Macaca mulatta: one gene and its partners. The protein of the gene in region 3 purifies or fractionates together with the protein of the main gene of each other region. This does not show direct contact. Links are inferred from orthologs where the notes say so. Each region holds a gene or a part of one and is shown on either strand. Other genes may lie near its edges. The genes, in order: FKBP5, HSP90AB1, TSSK6 and CDC37.

Region 1 (5,089 bases), on a different chromosome or scaffold from region 3:
AGCCCCCAGCCTGAGCGCAGCAGGCTCTGCCCACCTGGGAGGAGCACTCTCCTCACCCCACCCGACAGGTGTGGCCAGGCACACAGCTGCTGTGTACATGTTCTGTTTTCCCCAAACCTCACCCCTCTGGGACGCCTCGGAAGGTCTTGGCATGGGGGATGTAACTCTTAGTTGCAAACAGAGGTAGGAGTTTGTTCTGGGGTAGTGGCGGAGTAGGGAGCCGAGGAAGAGGATCCTAGAAGAAAAGTGGGACATAGGGCAAGAGGATCTCCCCTATCTCTGTCCTCAGCTGACCCAGAGTTCAGAGTCTCTTCCTGCCCCCTCCCCTCAAAACCACAAGGCCCCTGAAGATTTCCTCCTCGGAGGGAGGAACAGGCAGGTGGTGTGGTGTTTTGAAGCCTGAGACCCTGCTTTTCTGCCCCCACCCCCAAACCACAATAAAGACCCAGGAATCCTGCCACCTAGCCACAAACCTCCTCCTTCCACCTCTATGCAGGGGAAATGGGGTCCCATTTGGGGTCCCCACTGGGGACTTATGCTGTCCCTATGCTGTGTCCTGGCATCTTGTGGGGCCATTGTGATGATGACAGCAGCCCAGAGCAGGGCTCTTCCTGGGGATGGGGACCTGCCCCACGTCCCAGCTTCCTGGGGTGCTGCGCAGTGCCCTGAGGGATGCTTTGTGCCTGGAGAGTGCCAGGGCAGGCGGGGAGGAGTGGTTCCGGGAAAGGCCCTGGCAGGCAGCATAGGCCTGGGCTCCAGGGCCTTTGAGGGTGGGCCTAGGGGAGGGACCTCAGGCTGCTGAAGTGCCTTACCTGGGCCTCCTGCCATCTGATGGCATCTCTGGCACCCTCTGTGGCTAAAGATGCCAACACAGGCCTGAGCCGTGGACCCCCTTCCCATACATACATCACACTTCCCACACAGGCTCTCACCCAGCCAATGCACACTGCATCTCCCAGTTGGGAGGCACCTTCACTGCCATCTACTCCCACCTTCTTCCTGATGCTTGAAATCTGTCCGTGATCCCAGGTCAGTGATTGCTCGAGGCTATGACAGGGACACTCTCAGACAGCAGCCCACTGCTCTTCTGGACTTCCCTATCTCCAAGTCCAGTCACCTACGGGACACCTGCCCTTACATGGCCTAGAAGTGACTGAACTCATATTCATGTCCCTCACACCAGCTCCTCCCCATTGCCCACCATGACCCTCCCAGTCCTGAAACTCACTGCAAAGGTAGATTAATGTTTAACTACTTTCTCTCCTTCATCATCCTTATGTCTGATATCTTATCAAATTCTTCCCTTTGTTGCTTTTATTTCAAAATATATTGTTTGTTCATTACTTTTCTCCTTCACCCTTTCCCCTCCAGCCCCATAGATTCCACCTTTGGCCCAAATTCTCACAGCAGCTGCTACACTGTCCTTTCTTTTTCCTTCCTCCTACACACCCTGCTGGAATAATCTTTCTCAAACATCATTTATTGTGTATGTTATCAACTTCAGACTCCTCAACCAAGCACAGTGAGTACACTAGCTAAGCTGTGTATTCTCTGTGAGATGGGACCTGAATTCACTCATGGCATGTCCAGGCCACAGGGTTGAGTGCAGTGCCTCCTGCACAGCAGGAGGGCAGCAAATGTTCCTCAAGTGACCCATCCATTTGGTGGTGTTCCCTTTCCACCGTTCCAATTCTCTCTCCTGCCTTGGTCTCCCCAGTCCCATCAAGCCTATTGGCTTCCCAATGCTCACTGGGGCCCTTTTGTTTTGAAGGGCCACTGTTTTTCATTTCCCCAAAATCTTAGGTGGCTGGAGGTGGGGAGCTGGTGGGGAAGGGAGAGGCCGACATCCAAGTTAATATCAGGAAGGTTGTGGCAAATACCAACTGCAAAACCTTGGGTGCAGAGCAGAATGAGGGCAGATGCCTGCTAGGAGTCCCTGTTCAGTAAGAGACAAAACCACAGAGGAGGGCAGAATGTGGAAAGGAGAGTGGCATAACTAGTGGCTTCCCTCTGAGCCTGTGAGCTGCCTTTAATCTTTTCCTTTTTTTTTCTTTTTTTGAGATTGAGTCTTGCTCTGTCGCCCAGGGTGGAGTGCAGTGGGGCGATCTCGGCTCATTGCAACCTCTGCCTCCCCAGTTCAAGCAATTCTCCTATCTGAGCCTCCCGAGTAGCTGGGACTTCAGTTGAACACCACCACGCCCAGCTAATATTTGCATTTTTAGTAGAGACGGGGTTTCACCATATTGGTCAGGCTGGTCTCAAACTCCTGACCTCAGGTGATCCACCCGCCTCAGCCTCCCAAAGTGCTGGGATTACAGGAGTGAGCTACCGTGCCCCACCTAATCTTTTTTATGTTTTATTGCTTAGTTATGTCCTGCAGTATTTTAAACCTCTTCTCCCATAGGCTGTAGGCTTTTTAATGGCAGGGACAGTGTCTTTTATTTATTTGACATCATCTACTTATTTTGAGAAGCAGGCACGAAATACTTTGGAGGGCACATAAAACTTGGGTCTGGATCCTGGTTCCAACACTTAGCTGTTTGGCCCTGGGTAAGTCTCTTAACCTCTCTGAGCCAGTTTCTTCGTCTGTAAAAGCCGCTAGTGACACTCGTTTTGCAGAATGAGGGGCAAAAATTACAGAGAATACAAAGCACCAGGAAAGTGCCTGTTGTACCCAATAGTTTATATTCCTTCCCCGTATGGTTGGAGCCTTTTCTGAATTGGGAGAAAGGTGTTCCTTAACTACTGCCCATACTGGGACACTTTAAACTTGAAAAGGGGCACTGTTAATAATTACGTCCGTTCCAGGGACGCAGAGCCACCCTACCGTAGTTCACAACAACTGGCAGGGTTCGGATGGCACGCAATATCCCAGTGCCTAAGCACAGCCCCAAGCATAACGCTCAATAAATGCCTGTTGAATCAAAGAGCGAACAGAAGCTGACCCTCACTCCGTTTTTTGGACATCATTGACTGAAGCAAATTGAAAAGCCCGCCCCTGCTGCGCCCCCACCCCCACCCCCACCCCGTCCCAGAGCCACCGGCAGCCTCAATTCCCTGAGGTCTGCCCTTCAGTAGCCCACCGTCCCGCCCCCGGTTGCCTTGACATCAGTGACGTCGCCGAGGGGCGTGGCCTCTCTCCATCCTCTGCTGGTGCCCTGGGCCCCTCCGCATCCGAACCTGGGGGGAGGATGAGGTTGGTGGCCCTTGACCCTACTCGCCCCCCGCCGGGCCAGCATCTAAGCCCGCCTGGCCGCCTTTCTTGGGCGCGCAGCTGTCTCGAGTGTGGGTACCCATCTCCACCCCCACCCTTACCCGGGTGAACTAGCGGGGGTTCTAGAGTGCCGGATCCCGGTGAGCCCTCTCCACCAGCTGCGGGCTAAAGGATCCTGAGAACCTGGGCCCAGCGCTCAGCTCAGGCCCGCCCCTTCCCGGTCAGCCCCCTCGCTCCACGTCCTGGGGGGCGGGCGGGAAGGATGGGACCCCCGCCCAGGAGGCGCACAGGCGCCAACGAGCGCGGGAGAGAAAGAGTTAAATTAGGTGCCGGCGCCGGGCGCGGCGCGAGTGGGGGAGGGGAGCGAAGAGAAAGTGAGAGCGGGGGCGGAGCGGGGACGGGAGCGAAAGAACATCCTGTGCCCGTCGCCGGATGCGCGCGGGGGGAGGAGGTAGTCCGGGGAGGGAGAGCAAGACGGGGGGAGGCCCGGGGCGGGGAAAGGCGCGGCCTCCTTCCCCCCCAACCTCCTCCTCTGGGGGCGCTGGCCCCCTCTGCTTCCCGCGCCTTAGCCGGAGCTACCCGGAGGCCCCAGGATCTGGTTCCTGGGCAGGAGTAAGCGCTAGCTGGGGAGAGATGATCTCGGAGAGTATGGGATGCACGTCAAGGCAGGGGCGGCCCCCAGCCTTTCATCTCTTGGTTTTCTGCAAGGGAAGCTCGCACGTGTTGAGCGTCCCCTGTGCACCGAAAGTACACACATTATCTTAGTCAGTCCTGACAGCGGCACTTCCAGGCAGTAGACAGGAATTCATAGACTCGCGTTCTAGAAGAGGAAACAGACTCAGATTATGGAATTTGTCCAAACCCCACACTGCTGGGATGTGAATGCAAGCCTGTCGGACTGCAAAGGGCTTTTCACTGGAGTTTAGGGTAGGGCAATTTCCCCTTAGCTTCTATGCGCACAAGTACTGGGCCGCTGCAGTATCACCCTCGGGAATGGCGGTGTCTTTTCGTAGAGGACCCCCAACAGCATCTGGCTGGAGCTTCTGTCATTAACTAGGCTCAAACAACCATTGCCAGGATATTGGTAAAGAGATGAGGAAGGGGCCTTAGGGTTCCACAGGTAGTTGGATGGTTCTTAGAAACACAGTTTAGGGGAATGTGTTGTAGCGCTCCTGCTCCTCTTTTAGGTATTTGTGGGGGCTTCAAAGAGGGTTCCAGAGTCACTCAAAGCAGTTACATGGATTACAGGAATTCGGATTGATTCACTTTAAGAAGACCAGGGAGGTCTGGTGTGGTGGTTTATGCCTGTAATCCCAGCACTTTGAGAGGCCGAGGCAGGCAGATCACCTGAGAGCAGGAGTTCGGGACCAGCCTGGCCGAAATGGTGAAATCCAATCCACTAAAAATACAAAAATTAACCAGGCGCGGTGGTGCACGCCTGTAGTTCCAGCTACTCGGCAAGCTGAGGCACAAGAATTGCTCGAACCTGGGAGGCCGAGTTTGCAGTGAGCCGAGATGGCGCCACTGCACTGCAACCTGGGAGACAGAGCCAGACTCGTATCAAAAAAAAAAAAAAGACAACGACTAGCGTGAGAGGTAGTGGGTAAGTGGAAGGAAGGGCTGACTCATGTGCTTTTCAGGCTGGGATGCATTGAGGGCTACCGTCTGTGTTCTCACTGCCTGCCCACACCCCACATGTTGTCCAGGTGAAACCTGCGGAGATAATTAGGATTATAGTCAACATTTGTTGAGCTCTGTGTGCTGGGCACTGTTCCAAGTGCTTTACTTAATCCTCGCAATCCCATGAAGTAAGTCTTATTGTTTCTATTTTACAGGTGGGGAAAATGAGGCACAAGGAGACCACAAAGCTAAATC
Region 2 (4,842 bases), on a different chromosome or scaffold from region 3:
CTCTATGGCCACACTGTCACTGTGGTGGGAGGGCTGGGAGTGGCTGTGGTCTTTGCTGCCCTCCTACTCAGAGTCTACGCGCGGGGCCGTCTAAAGCAACGGGGAAAGAAGGCTGTGCCTGTTGAGTCTCCTGTGCAGAAGGTTTGAGGGTGGAGAGGGCCTGAGGGGTGAAGTGAAATAGTCTTCTCACCATTTTCTCCTACTGTAACCCGAGGGAGCTGGCTCAAAGGGCAAAATGCAGGTGTTTTCTCAGTATCATAGACTCTGCAGCAGGGGGTGGGGAGCCCAGGAGGCAGCCTTCCCTTTTGCCTTAAGTCACCCATCTTCCAGCAGGCAGTTTATTCTGAGCCCCAGGGTAGAGATAGTCCTCAGTGAGGGGGAGTTTGGGGTCAAGAGGGCATAGGTAGGTTCCACAGTTCCCCCTCCCAGAAGTTTCCTTAAGTCTTGCCCTAGCTGTGCTCTGCTGCCTTCCAGACTCCCCTCTGCAAATACCTGCATTTCTTACCCTGGTGAGAAAAGCACAAGCGGTGTAGGCTCCAATGCTGCTTTCCCAGGGGGGTGAAGTGAAGATGGTGCTGTGTTGTGGAAAGGGGATGCAGATCCCTGCCCAGCACCACCACCTCCTATGCTCCTGGATCCCTAGGCTCTACTCCATGAGCCTGTTGTAGGTTTTGGTACTTTAGAAATGTAACTTTTTGCTCTTATAATTTTATTTTATTAAATTAAATTACTGTAATGGGCTTGGTCCTGTGTTTTGGTTGACTGAAAAGGCATTATTATACGGTAGTTTTTCAGAAAAACTGCCTTTGGCTTCAGTGTGTGCACTCTTAAGACTCACTGGTATTCTGTATCTTAGCTACAAAACCAGCTTAACTTGCTGTGCTCATGAAAACAGCAAGAGCTGGGGGGATAGAGAAGCTAGGGAAGAATTAACATCCACTTCACAAGGGAGAGCAAAAGTGTATAAAAACGGCATATTCTTTATTTTGCATACTTTAATTTCAGAACAAAATGAAGAAAATAAAATAAACCACAACACACAACATCCAATCCTGCTGTCAGAGTAGAGAGGGAATGGGGCTTGACACCCTTGGTTTCCTGCCTTCAACACAAGGACAGGAGAGGAAAAACAACACTAGACATCAGCAGGGGGAGCCAGGTGGGACAGGGGCACTTGAGGCTGCAGTGGGAGCCACGGGGACACTATACAAGGGCACAAGTTTTCCAACTATGAACTTCTAATCGACTTCTTCCATGCGAGACGCATCCTCATCGCCCTCAAGAGGGGGAATCTCATCAGGAACTGCAGCACTGGGTTCTTCTGCTGCCACTTCATCTTCATCAATACCTAAAGTAAAATTAAGCCATGTAAGACTTGATTAAATAGCATTAAGTCAAATCCAGACAGGAGCCTAGTTGCACAAACTCCTTGCCACATCAAGTACCAAAGCTGCTTACCTAGACCTAGCTTGATCATGCGGTAGATGCGGTTGGAGTGGGTCTGGGGATCCTCAAGGGAAAAGCCTGAAGAGAGCAGGGCGGTTTCAAACAGCAGCACCACCAGGTCCTTAACTGCCTTATCATTCTTGTCGGCCTCAGCCTTCTGCCGCAGAGTCTCCACAATGGGGTGGTCAGGGTTGATCTCCAGGTGCTTTTTGGCCATCATATAGCCCATGGTGGAGTTGTCCCGAAGTGCCTGGGCTTTCATGATCCGCTCCATATTGGCTGTCCAGCCATAGGTGCTGGTCACAATGCAGCAGGGTGAAGACACAAGCCTATTGGAAATTGTCACCTGTGGACAATCACAAAAGCCTTAGATTTGCATTAGATCAGTGACCACTTTGAAAGAGAAAACGGACACTGTCAAGCCTGTAATTCCAGCAGGGGGAGGAGGAGGAGGTGGGGCCGATCACTTGAGTTTGAGACCAACCTGGCAAAACCCTCTCTCTACAAAATATACAAAAAATTAACCGGGTGTGGTGGCACATGTCTGTAATCCCAGCCACTCAGGAGACTTGAATTTGCAGTGAGCTGAGATCCAGTCAAAAAAAGAAGAAAATAATATTTTATCTACTCTCACAAGTTAACTGAAGCAATGCCTTATCTGTGCCAAATTTTATTAAAATAGCCTTAAACCTGGCTAGGGGAGAGAACAAGAGCCAAGAAGGCTCCAAACAGTAAATAGGGTGCCTCAAGCCACTAATTGTGTAGAAACATGATTGTGAGGGAGCCCACCTCAAAGGTATGTTACAAAATATATCCTAGCTCCAGAATGGCTTACCTTCTCAACCTTCTTATCTAAGATTTCTTTCATGAGCTTGCAAAGGTTCTCAAACTTTGCCTTGCTCTCTTCCATCTTCTTCTTCTCCTCCTCATCCTCAGGCAGCTCCAGACCCTCCTTGGTAACTGAGACCAGGCTCTTCCCATCAAACTCCTTGAGCTGCTGCACACAGTACTCGTCAATGGGCTCGGTCATATATACCACCTCGAAGCCCCGTTTCCGCACTCGCTCCACAAAAGCTGAGTTGGCCACCTGCTCTTTGCTCTCACCTGTAGGGTAATTAAATGGACTCAGTGACTAAAATGCCTCATACTGCCAGTTCCTAGGTAGCCCTGAAATGTGCTCCCCACTCCTCCAAAAAGGCTTCCATCAGAACCAACGCACCAGTGATGTAATAGATGGACTTCTGTGTCTCCTTCATGCGAGAAACATACTCTGACAGAGATGTCATCTCATCTCCAGACTGGGAGGTGTGATAGCGCAGCAGCTCAGACAGGCGGCGGCGGTTAGTGGAGTCCTCGTGGATTCCAAGCTTGAAGAGTGGGAAGAGAAAAAACAATCCAACTTAACTACAATTCACTTTCTATGTGAATAGAAAAATTTGTTAGTAATTACTAAGAAAGTGGTAAAGGGAATAAGCATTTGCCTCTTTACCTTGAGATTTTTAGAGAATGCCTCATAGAATTTCTTGTAATTCTCCTTGTCTTCTGCCAGCTCAGAGAAGAGCTCAAGACACTTCTTAACAATGTTTTTACGAATGACTTTCAAGATTTTGCTCTGCTGGAGCATTTCTCGGGAGATGTTCAGGGGCAGATCCTCAGAGTCAACCACACCACGAATAAAATCTGCCATCAACCAGGATAAGAAAGCTCAGTAAAAATAGCTAGACCAGAGCTGGTACCCAGATTCAAACAGAAGGCTCTAATAGCCTCCTGAACCCTTATACTTACTATGCATTGCAGAAAATCCTTAACCTAGGATATTCTGGCAGAATGCCGAAAACCTCCCAAGACTTCACCCAACTAAATTAGGCCAAGGAGATACTCACTGAGATACTCTGGTATTAACTCATCACAGCTGTCCATGATGAACACACGACGGACATAGAGTTTGATGTTGTTCTTTTTCTTCTTGTTCTCAAAAAGGTCAAAGGGAGCCCGACGAGGAATGAATAGCAATGCCCTGAATTCCAACTGACCTTCTACAGAAAAGTGCTGGAAAAAAACAAAAAATAAGTGATACATTTCAAAAGAGGGCCTTTTAGCCCCAACACCAAATTACCTAAAAATGGAATAATGATCCTCCCCATAAGCCTAACGGATAGAGCGCACACACAGGCAGTTCCCGAGAAAACTGAGCCTTAATGCCCTCAACGATCTAGACGAATACTAGCTGTATATAGAAAACAGTCCGCTCTGATCAGAACTCTGGATGTGTAAGGCTGCCAATAGACATTACCCAGATTTCCTTTAGAGAAAGTGAGGTCATTAGGAAGGATGGCACTTCACTATGACCGGGTAATCAGTAAGTGAAAATACATGGCTCTCATATTTCTGTTATCAGCTGGACACGTTCCATGTGTCTATTACCTGCCAACACTCTTCCACTTATTCCTCTCCATATTTGCATGTTGACCCAACATGCAAAGGCTTCTCACCTTGACTGCCAAGTGGTCTTCCCAGTCATTGGTGAGGCTCTTATAGAATTCTCCATACTCCTCTTGGGTGATGTCATCAGGGTTTCTGGTCCAAATAGGCTTGGTCTTGTTTAGCTCTTCCTGATCAATGTATTTCTCTTTGATCTTCTTAGTTTTCTTCTTCTTATCCTTACCACTGTCATCCTCCTCATCTGAACCCACATCTTCGATCTTGGGCTTTTCTTCATCATCTTTATCTTCCTCTTCTTTCTCACCTTTCTCTTCCTCTGCCTCATCATCACTAATTTCCTTCTCTCGCTCCTTCTCCAACTAAGTAAGAAAAACAGAAATTAGCCTTGGAGTACAAAACACCAGGAAAAGAAGCAGCCAGGGACCACGAGATTCTCCAGAACAGGAAACATCCTGCAGGCTAAGTGTAAAAGGTTTAAAAGTCCATACTCACATAAAGGGTGATGGGATAGCCTATGAACTGAGAGTGCTTCTTCACTACTTCTTTGACCCGCCTCTCTTCCAAGTATTCTGTCTGATCTTCTTTAAGATGGAGGATCACTTTGGTACCTCTGCCAATGGGCTCACCTAGAAGAGTCAATCATAAGCGTGTAACAGGACGAAAGTATATGCAGTTGAGACTTCACCAAATTAATAAAGTATTAGCGGAACTGCTATGAAGAACTGCTTGACAGGATGCTCAAAATTTCTGCTACTGGTGAGCCCACAAAACTCTAACCCAGCTACCTTGTAACAGAAAAGCTAACTTACCATGGTCAGCCCGCACAGTGAAGGAACCTCCAGCAGAAGACTCCCAAGCATACTGTTCATCATCGTTGTGCTTTGTGATCACAACCACTTTCTCTGCCACCAGGTAGGCAGAATAAAAGCCAACACCAAACTGTCCAATCATGGA
Region 3 (4,034 bases):
TGCCCAGCTATTTTTTTTTTTTTTTTTTTTTGTAGTTTTAGTAGAGATGAGGTTTCACTATGTTGGCCAGGCTGGTCTGGAACTCCTGCCCTCAGGTGATCCACCCGCCTTGGATTACAAGCGTTAGCCACCACGCCGGACTTTTTCTTTTTCTTTTTCTTTAGAGACAGGGTCGGGGGCGCAGTGGCTCAGACCTGTAATCCCAACACTTTGAGAGGCCGAGGCAGGTGGATCAGGAGGTCAGGAGTTCAAGACTAGTCTGGCCAAGATGGTGAAACCTCATCTCTACTAAAAATACAAAAATTAGCCGGGTGTTTGGGCACGTGCCTGTAGTCCCAGCTACTTGGGAGGCTAAGGTAAGAGAATCGCTTGAACCCGGGAGGAGGAGGTTGCAGTGAGCCAAGATCGTGCCACTGTACTCCAGCCTGGGCGACAGAGCGAGACTGTCTCAAAAAACAAAACAAAACAAAAAAACAAGAGATAAGGTATCAGCTGTGATGCCCAGGCTGTTTTCGAATTCCTGAACTCAAGTGATCTGCCTGCCTCGGACTCGCAGTGTTGGGGTCACAGGCGTAAGCCACCATGCCCAGCCCTTGGCTGCGTCTTTTGGCAAGTGACATCCATGTGGGCCTCAGTTTCCTTTTCTATAAACTCCTACTTTACGTGGAGACAGGTGACCCTCGCCCCACCCCTGGCTGTTCCATCCTTAAAAGATGTGGACGGGGAGGCGCTGGGGTCCACTTGCTTCCCCACCCATCATCACAGCACCATCACGACCCACGAACAACAGAGCTCCTTCGAGCTGGCCCATACTGGGGAGCCCAAAAGGTCCAGGTTCGAATCCTCCCGACTCCCTTTTGGGTCTTGGAGCAATAACCTCAACAAGCCTGACTAAAATAGGGTACCCGCGCCCGCCTTCCCCGGACGGAGCGATCCCTTCTCCACTGGTCTGCAAATGGGGCCACCGTTAGAGCCAGGTGCGAGGAACAGCGAGTTTATTGCAGGTTCCAACCGGGAACCCGGCACCCATCGTTGGTTGGGAAGGTACGCCCTCCGCGCAGAGGCTGAGCTTGTTCCGCGCAGGCGCAATGCTTCCTTCCCCTCTGGTCTCGCCTCTTTCGGGGCCTGGTCTGGGAAATCACGGATGCGCATGCGCCTCCACCTCTCGGGATGGCGGAGGACGTGGATTCCGAACAGGGGCAACTGCCGACTTCCCCGTGGGAAGGAAGGGAGGGAAGCGGCAGGGAGAAGGCGCATGCGCAGTAGCACGCGGCAGCTTCGCATGTTCCCGCTAAACTCGCCTCTTGCGCGTGCGCCGCGCTGGCCCAGTGCCCTCGGGGGCAGGAATGGCTGGAACCCCGGGTTCTAGCCAGAGTCCCCGGTGCGCAGCCAGCAGTTGCGCGCTACCTGGCCCGCCGAGGGCCTGGCGGACGGGCTGAACTGCAGCAGCTCGGCGATCAGGGCCTTGCAGCGCTCGGAGAGCTCGAGGCCTTCGGGGTAGAGCACGCCGCGCTTCTGGCGCCGGGGCAGGCCGGCAATGTCCGAGTCGTCGAAGGGCATGCACCCGGTGACCATGACGTAGAGCACGACGCCCATGCTCCACACATCATACTTCTTGGGGTCGTAGGGGATGCCCAGGAGCACCTCGGGTGACGCGTAGGCGGCTGAGCCGCAGTAGGTGGTGCTCAGGTCTGGGTAGCCATGGGCCTGGCGGCCGAACCCGAAGTCGGTGAGCTTGACGCGGCGCTCGTCCGGGCTCAGCAGCACGTTTTCGCACTTGAGGTCGCGGTGCACCAGGTGGTGATCGTGCAGGTAGCGCACGGCGCCGGCGATCTGCGCGAAGAGGTCGCGCGCCTGCACTCCGGGGATGCGCCCGTTGCGCTGCACGGCTTGCAGCAGGTCGGTGGCAGCCGCTTCCATCACGATGTACAGTTTCCCGTTGCACACCTCGATGAACTCGAAGACGTGCACGATGTGCGGGTGTCGCACGCCCCGCAGGATGGACAGCTCTCGCGGCAGGAACTTGTTGACGAAGTCCGGGGGCGCTCGCCGCCGGTCCACCACCTTGATGGCCACGGTACCCTTGTACTTCTTGGATGTGGCCACCTTCACCTTGGAGTAGCTGCCCTCTCCAATTGTGCGGCCCAGCTTATAACCGAGTTCGCTCAGAAGTTTGTCTCCCGACATGGTGGCGCCTGGGGCGCACGGGGAGCAGGAGGCGGCTGCTGTCGGGGGGCGGCCGGACTCCAATCTCGGGTCTAAGCCATGGCGCTTGGCACCTACACCCCCGCACCCCCATGTGCCCACTGCCAGGCATTGGCCGCTGTTGTGCCTTTTATTGCCCCGTAACAATTTTTGCCTTGTGAAGTGACCACGGGCGTCACTCCGCCTTAGGGTGGGGGTCCAGGACCCCGCCCCGGGGCCACCCTAGCCTCCCTGCTTTGTGACTCATAATCACCTTGAATGGTCAGTTTCCGATGAGAGGCCACTAGCAAGGGATACCCACCACCACCAGGGAGCAGCATCCGTTCCGGGGATTGGGGTGAGTCCGAATTCGAGCAGCAGCTGCTCCCCAACATCACGTACCCAGCCCGTGACTACGTGGAGCCCTGGGCTTCCCGTAGAGTCCCTAGACGGAGCGAAAACGGGAAAAGGGGCCTTAACTGGGGCCCCTGGCTCCCTCGGGCGCTCGGAGTTTCTGACTGGCCTGCGCAACACCCCAGAGGCAAGGCGAACGCGAGGGCCTTTAATGCAAGAACCAAGGCAATTCACACCCTGTCTGGGAGAAAGAGGGAATAAAGACTCCTCAGCTACAGCCTGGCAGCGTATTCCGACCCAGGGTCCGCCGCCGGAGCTTTCCTGCGCTGTCGCGTAGTTACACTAGTGTCCGAGGCTTTCCAGGGCTGCGGCGGGCCAACTCGAGTGCTTCCGCCACACTCATCATGGCGGTGGCAGTATGTCACTTCCGCCTGGGACCGGAAGTGTGGAATACTGCTAGCATGGAGATGCCGAAGGTGAAGCAGGACATGCCCCCGCCGGGGGGCTATGGGCCCATCGACTACAAACGAAACTTGCCGCGTCGAGGACTGTCGGGTCAGTATCACTCTGGGCCGGGGTCTCAGAGTGGGTACTCGGGGCTCGGGGGCGGGGTTCCGGGGACACAAGCGGGCCTCAGTTTCCCTGGCGGTGAGACCGGAGGCTGAGCTCGAGAATCCTCCATAGCTTCTGTAATAACGTCAAGTGCTGCAGTTTGTTGAGCGCTTTCCCAGCTCCGCTTCCTTCTCGTAACAGCCCAGGAAATCGGTCCCTCTAATTATTTACATTTTACAGTGGGTTAAACTGAGGCATAGTCTGCGCTCTGGCCCTCAGCCACCCTTGGATTTCTCAGATGGGGAAACTGAGGCCCAAAAGAGGCCACGGCTCCCCAAGGCAAGGCTGAGGCCGCAACCTGGAACTTGGAGGGAATTTACAAGATGTTCTATAAAGTGGTTCCCTGCAGGCAGCCCCCGCCTCCATGGTGTCCCAGGAATCCGTATTCTTAAAGTTTTCAAATTGTTTTCATTTATGTATTTTTTTTTTGAGACGGAGTTTTGGTCTTGTTGCCCAGACCGGAGTGCAATGGCGCCATCTCGGCTCACCGCAACCTCTGCCTCCTGGGTTCAAGCAATTCTCTTGCCTCAGCCTCCCGAGTAGCTGGGATTACAGGCATGTGCCACCACGCCTGGCTAATTTTGTATTTTTAGTAGAGATGGGGTTTCTCCACGTTGGTCAGGGTGGTCTCCAACTCCCAACCTCAGATGATCGGCCCACCTCGGCCTCCCAAAGTGGTAGGATTACAGGCGTGAGCCACCATGCCCGTCGTAAAGTTTTCAAATGTTTTAAGTAACACGTTAAATTTTGTTATGGGGCTCAACACAGAAAAATGAAAAAGACTTGAAAGGCACCCATACTCAGTCCCCAGGGTTAACGGACAAATACAAACTTTTAAACGTAATTTAAGGGTGAATACATACATTCCTTTTTTTTTTTTTTTT
Region 4 (4,377 bases), about 9.0 Mb from region 3:
AATCCCAGCACTCTGGGAGGCTGAGGCGGGCGGATCACGAGGTCAGGAGATTGAGACCATCCTGGCTAACACAGTGAAACCCCGTCTCTACTAAAAAATACAAAAAATTAGCCGGGCATGGTGGTGGGTGCCTGTAGTCCCAGCTACTCGGGAGGCTGAGGCAGGAGAATGGTGCGAACCCGGGAGGCGGAGTTTGCAGTGAGCAGAAATAGCACCACTGCACTCCAGCCTGGGTGACAGAGTGAGACTCTGTCTCAAAAAAAAAAAAACAAAAACAAAAAACAGACAAAATCCAATTAACAGCCAGCATTTACCAGCCCCTGCCGTGTGCTCAGCTCCTTTCCCCACACGTTTTGTGAGCTGATATTGAGAGAAAATATGGTTTGCATAAGGAAACTGAGGCTGGACTCAGTCACAGTAACAGTGACTATCAGTCACAAGGGACATACGCTCAAAGCTCAGCATTTATCTGCTGGATGCTGGGACACAGTAGGTGCTCAATAAATGTGGGTGTGTGCCAAGGTAACACGACCCCCCTTAGTCCTTGGAGAAGCCTTGGAGGGGCACTTTCACCAACTGGCTTCAGAGACTTGGGACACAGGGCTGGGGGAGACACATGGCCCGCTGGAAAGGCATGGGACGTGGGGGTTACTCACGGTGGGGTCCATCTTGCTGATGGCGTCTTGCAGCATCTGCACGTCCTTTACATCGAAGCACTTCTGGAGTTCCTGGGGGTATAGAAGGGCTGGGGTCAGGGGCTGGGTCCCTGTGCCCTGGGGGGTCCCGCTCAGGGTCCTCCTGCCGCCCGCCTGGGCTGGGGAGCCGCACCTCAGGGAGGGACTCGTAGACCTCGACAGGGTCCAGGCCGCCGGGGCCAAGCCGCTTCTTGCGCTCCTCCTCCTCATACTCCTTCATGGCCTTCTCAATGCGCAGCTTGGCACGGCCCCGCACACGCTCCTTGAAGGCTTCTAGCTCGTCGTTGAAGCCCTCCATGTACTGGCGATCGGCTGTCTATGGGGGTCGGGCAGTGCTCACTAGACTTGGCCCAGTGCTCAGGAGGGACTGGGGGCCCAGGACCCTCCAGCCACAGCTCCTCAGAGGTGCCCCAGGGCTCCCTAAGTCTGTTCCTGACTTACATAAAGGGCTTCCCAAGGCCTGGGCTCCCCTGCCAGGGACCTCATCTGGCATTTGCTAAAGACCACCTCCTTGGGAGCCCTGCTCTACTGCAGATCCGAGACACTCGTGTCCTCAGTGTCCCTGCATGGGCACCTCTAACTCAACACGGCCACCTCCCAGCCTGCCTTGTCCTTGGTCTCCCCAGTCTTGGTAAGGGTAGCCCTGTTCCTCCAGGTGCGCAAGTTAAAAACCCGAGAGGCTGGCAGGCGCCTGTAATGCCAGCTACTTGGGAGGCTGAGGCATGAGAATTGCTTGAACCCAGGAGGCAGGGGTTGTAGTGAGCTGAGATCACGCCATTGCACTCCAGCCTTGGTGATAGCAAGACTGGGTCTCAAAAACAAAAAAAAGCCCAGAGCCCTAGAGGCACCCTCACCTCTGTCCTTTACCCACATATCCACATGGGGACCTCCAGCACATCCTAGTGCTCCCATTTTTTTTTGTAATGCAGTTTTGCTCTGTCACCCAGGCTGGAGTGCAGTGGAACACCACAGCTCACAAATTCCTGAGCTCAAGTGGTCCTCCTGCTTCAGCCTCCCAAAGACTTGGACTATAGGACTCAGTCACCAAGCCTGGCCTGACCTCCACTTTTAAAGTCTGGCAGCATCCGCCCACTTCTCTCCCCCTCCTTGGCCCCGCCCTCTCCTGATCTAGGATTCGGTGATTGGAGGGGCTTGAGTCCCAGTGGACAGGAGTCGGCCTTACCCAGAGCGCTGTGGGCTGGTTCCCTGGGGAGGGGGCCTCCAGCCACCTGGCAGCTCAGGGGACCCTACCTTAATCTTAGTGAAGAACTGCCGGAAGCAGGCCCGGGGGTCCACCTTCAGGCTCTTGGCCAGCTCCAGGATAAACTGCATGACGATTGTCTGGTGAGCCACCTGCTCCATGAGTGCACATTTCTGCCAGGGAGAACAGGCACAGTGTTACCAAGTGGCGGCCTCAGGGCAGCACCTTTTCACAGCCCTGGGGAAAGCTCCACTCACCTCCTCCACCTCTAGGTCAATGCACCAGATGACCAGGTAATTGGCCGTCTCCTCGCACACCAGGTGGACATTGTCTGACAGGTACTTTTGGCTGTCATCCCAGCGGCGGAGCATGCCTGTGGGAAGATGCTGGCAAGGTGCTGGAGGGCCCTGGAGGCAAAGGGCCTGCCCCGACCTTGCCCCCCATAACCTCACACGCCCCACTCACCAAAGTGCTTGATCTGTTTCTCGTACTTTTCCACGAAAGTCTTGTGTTTCTGCTCCCTCACCTCCTCTGAGTCCTCCTCTGTCTTCTCGGGCTTGGTGTTGACCATGCTCTGTGGTAGGGTGAGAGGGGGAGTGGGCTGGGGCAAGGCTGCGGAGCGCCTCGAGTGCGGCCGGGCGGGCCGTGGCCGCAGCGCCCATCCCATCCACGGCGGAGGTGGTGACGAAGCCATGAGCATCAAGGTGGCGGGAGCGTGGGCATGGGCCTTGGGGCAGATCAGAGGAGGGGACCGGTGGGGTGTTTCATCCGCCCGGCCCTCCAAGCCTGTCCCCCCTCCCACGTGGCCCCCGTCCGTCCCTCAGCTCTCTGCCCCACACCACACTCTTCAACTACACCGCCGCGGTCCTCCCCTGACCAGGCATTGGGTGCGCATGCGTCCTGGCTGCATACTCGCCGGCTGCGCAAGTGCACTGCCCACCCCGCCCGCCCCGCACACCTTGCTGAAGCCGTCTTTGCTGAGCGTGTCCACGTTCCAGGGCATGCTCTTCTCCTTCTTGCGCATCTCTTCCAGCTTCTGCTCCCAGCTCCGCTCCTCTTTGCGCAGCTGCTGTGCCTCGGCCTGCAGCCGCTCCAGCTCTGCCTTGCCGCCCTCAGCCACCTCCAGCTCCTTCAGCTTCCTCTGGCATTCGGCCACCTTGCGCTTGCACTCGCGGCAGCCCCTGTCCAGTTCCTCCTTCTCCTTCTGGAACTGCTCCATGCGCTCCACCCGGGCCTGCGGGCAGGGGCGGCCTATCAACTTTGGGGAGCGGCCTGTCCCTTACCCCCAGCCCCATACCCAATCCCCGCACCAGAGATGGCCCCGGGAAAAAGTATGCCTCCACCTCCCGTGCCCTGGTCTCCCAGCTTCCGCCCCTGCCCCCACAGGTGCCGACGCACACCCAAGTGGGGTCCGGTCCCTCCGTCCTCCGCTCAGAACCCTGGCGGCTCCCATCTCACTCAGAGCAGAGTCCAGGTTGTCACCACAGCCTACGTAGGCCCTACACAATCTAACCCGGCACCTCCCCTGCTAACTCTTCCTTCCAGCCACACTGGCCCCTCACTTTTCTCACCTTTTCTTGAGACCATTCTTTTTTCTTTTAGAAAAAAAACAAAAAAACAGGGTCTCACTCTGTCGCCCAGGTCAGAGTGCAGTGGCCCAATGACGACTTACTGAAGCCTCGACCTCCCTGGGCTCAGGCAATCCTCCCACCTCGCCTCCCGAGTAGCTGGGACTACAGGTGTGCACCACCACGCCCAGCTAATTTTTGTATTTGCAGTAAAGATGGGGTTTCGCCATGTTGCCCAGACGGGTCTTGAAGTCCTGGGTTCAAGCGATTCTTCCGCCTTGGCCTCCCAAAGTGCTGGGACCACAGGCAGGAGCCACTCTGCTCGGCAGAGCCTGCTTTTTTCTTGAACTTCAAGGCCTTCACACTGGCTGTTCCAACTACTTGGAATGATTTTCCCTCAGATCCCCCCACAGCTGACTCTATGGCACCCGCGCCATCTGGGCTCCATGTTGCCTTAGCGAGGACCCCTTCCCTAACCACCTTCCTATTGATGGCAACCTCCCGCTGCCCCCGTCTGGAATTCCCTGCCTCAACACCAGCCACCACTCACATCATATGACAATTATTTATCACGTTTTTGGGTACTGCCCCGCCCCGCTCTCTAAATATGGGAATGTGTTTGCCATTTTGTCTCCAGAACCAGGAACTTGGCCTGGCGCAAAGCAGGGGCTCAGCAAATGCTTGTTTTTTTGTTTTTATTTTGTTTGGTTTTCTTTGAACAAGGTCTTGTTGTCATGCAGACTAGAGTGCAGTGGTGCGATCATGGTTCACTGCAGCCTTGACCTCCCAGGCTCAAGAGATCCTCCTGCCTCAACCTCCCAACTAGCTAGGACTAAAGGTGCACAGAAACCACCATGCCCAGCTATTGGTTTTTTTTTGTTTTTTTTTTTAGATGGAGTCGCCCAGGCTGGAG

What was found.
Region 1: the proteins of TSSK6 (region 3) and FKBP5 purify together in Homo sapiens (affinity purification with mass spectrometry; 4 studies listed by BioGRID and IntAct, with this or other methods). This does not show direct contact. The link is inferred for Macaca mulatta from reciprocal best matches to the Homo sapiens genes TSSK6 and FKBP5.
Region 2: the proteins of TSSK6 (region 3) and HSP90AB1 purify together in Homo sapiens (affinity purification with mass spectrometry; 4 studies listed by BioGRID and IntAct, with this or other methods). This does not show direct contact. The link is inferred for Macaca mulatta from reciprocal best matches to the Homo sapiens genes TSSK6 and HSP90AB1.
Region 4: the proteins of TSSK6 (region 3) and CDC37 purify together in Homo sapiens (affinity purification with mass spectrometry; 4 studies listed by BioGRID and IntAct, with this or other methods). This does not show direct contact. The link is inferred for Macaca mulatta from reciprocal best matches to the Homo sapiens genes TSSK6 and CDC37.

Annotation. Positions count from the first base shown.
Region 1 is NC_133409.1:146,536,279-146,541,367, reverse strand, and holds the start of FKBP5 (peptidyl-prolyl cis-trans isomerase FKBP5), read right to left. Parts: upstream 3,288-5,089; 5' UTR 3,218-3,287; intron 1-3,217. UniProt on the Homo sapiens protein: Immunophilin protein with PPIase and co-chaperone activities. Component of unligated steroid receptors heterocomplexes through interaction with heat-shock protein 90 (HSP90).
Region 2 is NC_133409.1:137,862,266-137,867,107, forward strand, and holds the end of HSP90AB1 (heat shock protein HSP 90-beta), read right to left. Parts: coding exon 4,698-4,842; intron 4,515-4,697; coding exon 4,381-4,514; intron 4,248-4,380; coding exon 3,939-4,247; intron 3,496-3,938; coding exon 3,330-3,495; intron 3,127-3,329; coding exon 2,936-3,126; intron 2,814-2,935; coding exon 2,666-2,813; intron 2,551-2,665; coding exon 2,282-2,550; intron 1,793-2,281; coding exon 1,459-1,792; intron 1,349-1,458; coding exon 1,239-1,348; 3' UTR 961-1,238; downstream 1-960. Other genes in the region: SLC35B2 (adenosine 3'-phospho 5'-phosphosulfate transporter 1), read left to right, coding at 1-147. UniProt on the Homo sapiens protein: Molecular chaperone that promotes the maturation, structural maintenance and proper regulation of specific target proteins involved for instance in cell cycle control and signal transduction. Undergoes a functional cycle linked to its ATPase activity.
Region 3 is NC_133424.1:20,109,196-20,113,229, forward strand, and holds TSSK6 (testis-specific serine/threonine-protein kinase 6), read right to left. Parts: upstream 2,327-4,034; 5' UTR 2,188-2,326; coding exon 1,366-2,187; 3' UTR 979-1,365; downstream 1-978. UniProt on the Homo sapiens protein: Serine/threonine-protein kinase component of the sperm flagellar doublet microtubules. May act as a regulator of sperm motility by mediating phosphorylation of sperm doublet microtubule proteins.
Region 4 is NC_133424.1:11,122,136-11,126,512, forward strand, and holds part of CDC37 (hsp90 co-chaperone Cdc37), read right to left. Parts: intron 4,211-4,377; exon of another isoform or gene 4,149-4,210; intron 3,131-4,148; coding exon 2,855-3,130; intron 2,624-2,854; coding exon 2,362-2,623; intron 2,270-2,361; coding exon 2,154-2,269; intron 2,070-2,153; coding exon 1,947-2,069; intron 1,012-1,946; coding exon 829-1,011; intron 729-828; coding exon 657-728; intron 1-656. UniProt on the Homo sapiens protein: Co-chaperone that binds to numerous kinases and promotes their interaction with the Hsp90 complex, resulting in stabilization and promotion of their activity. Inhibits HSP90AA1 ATPase activity.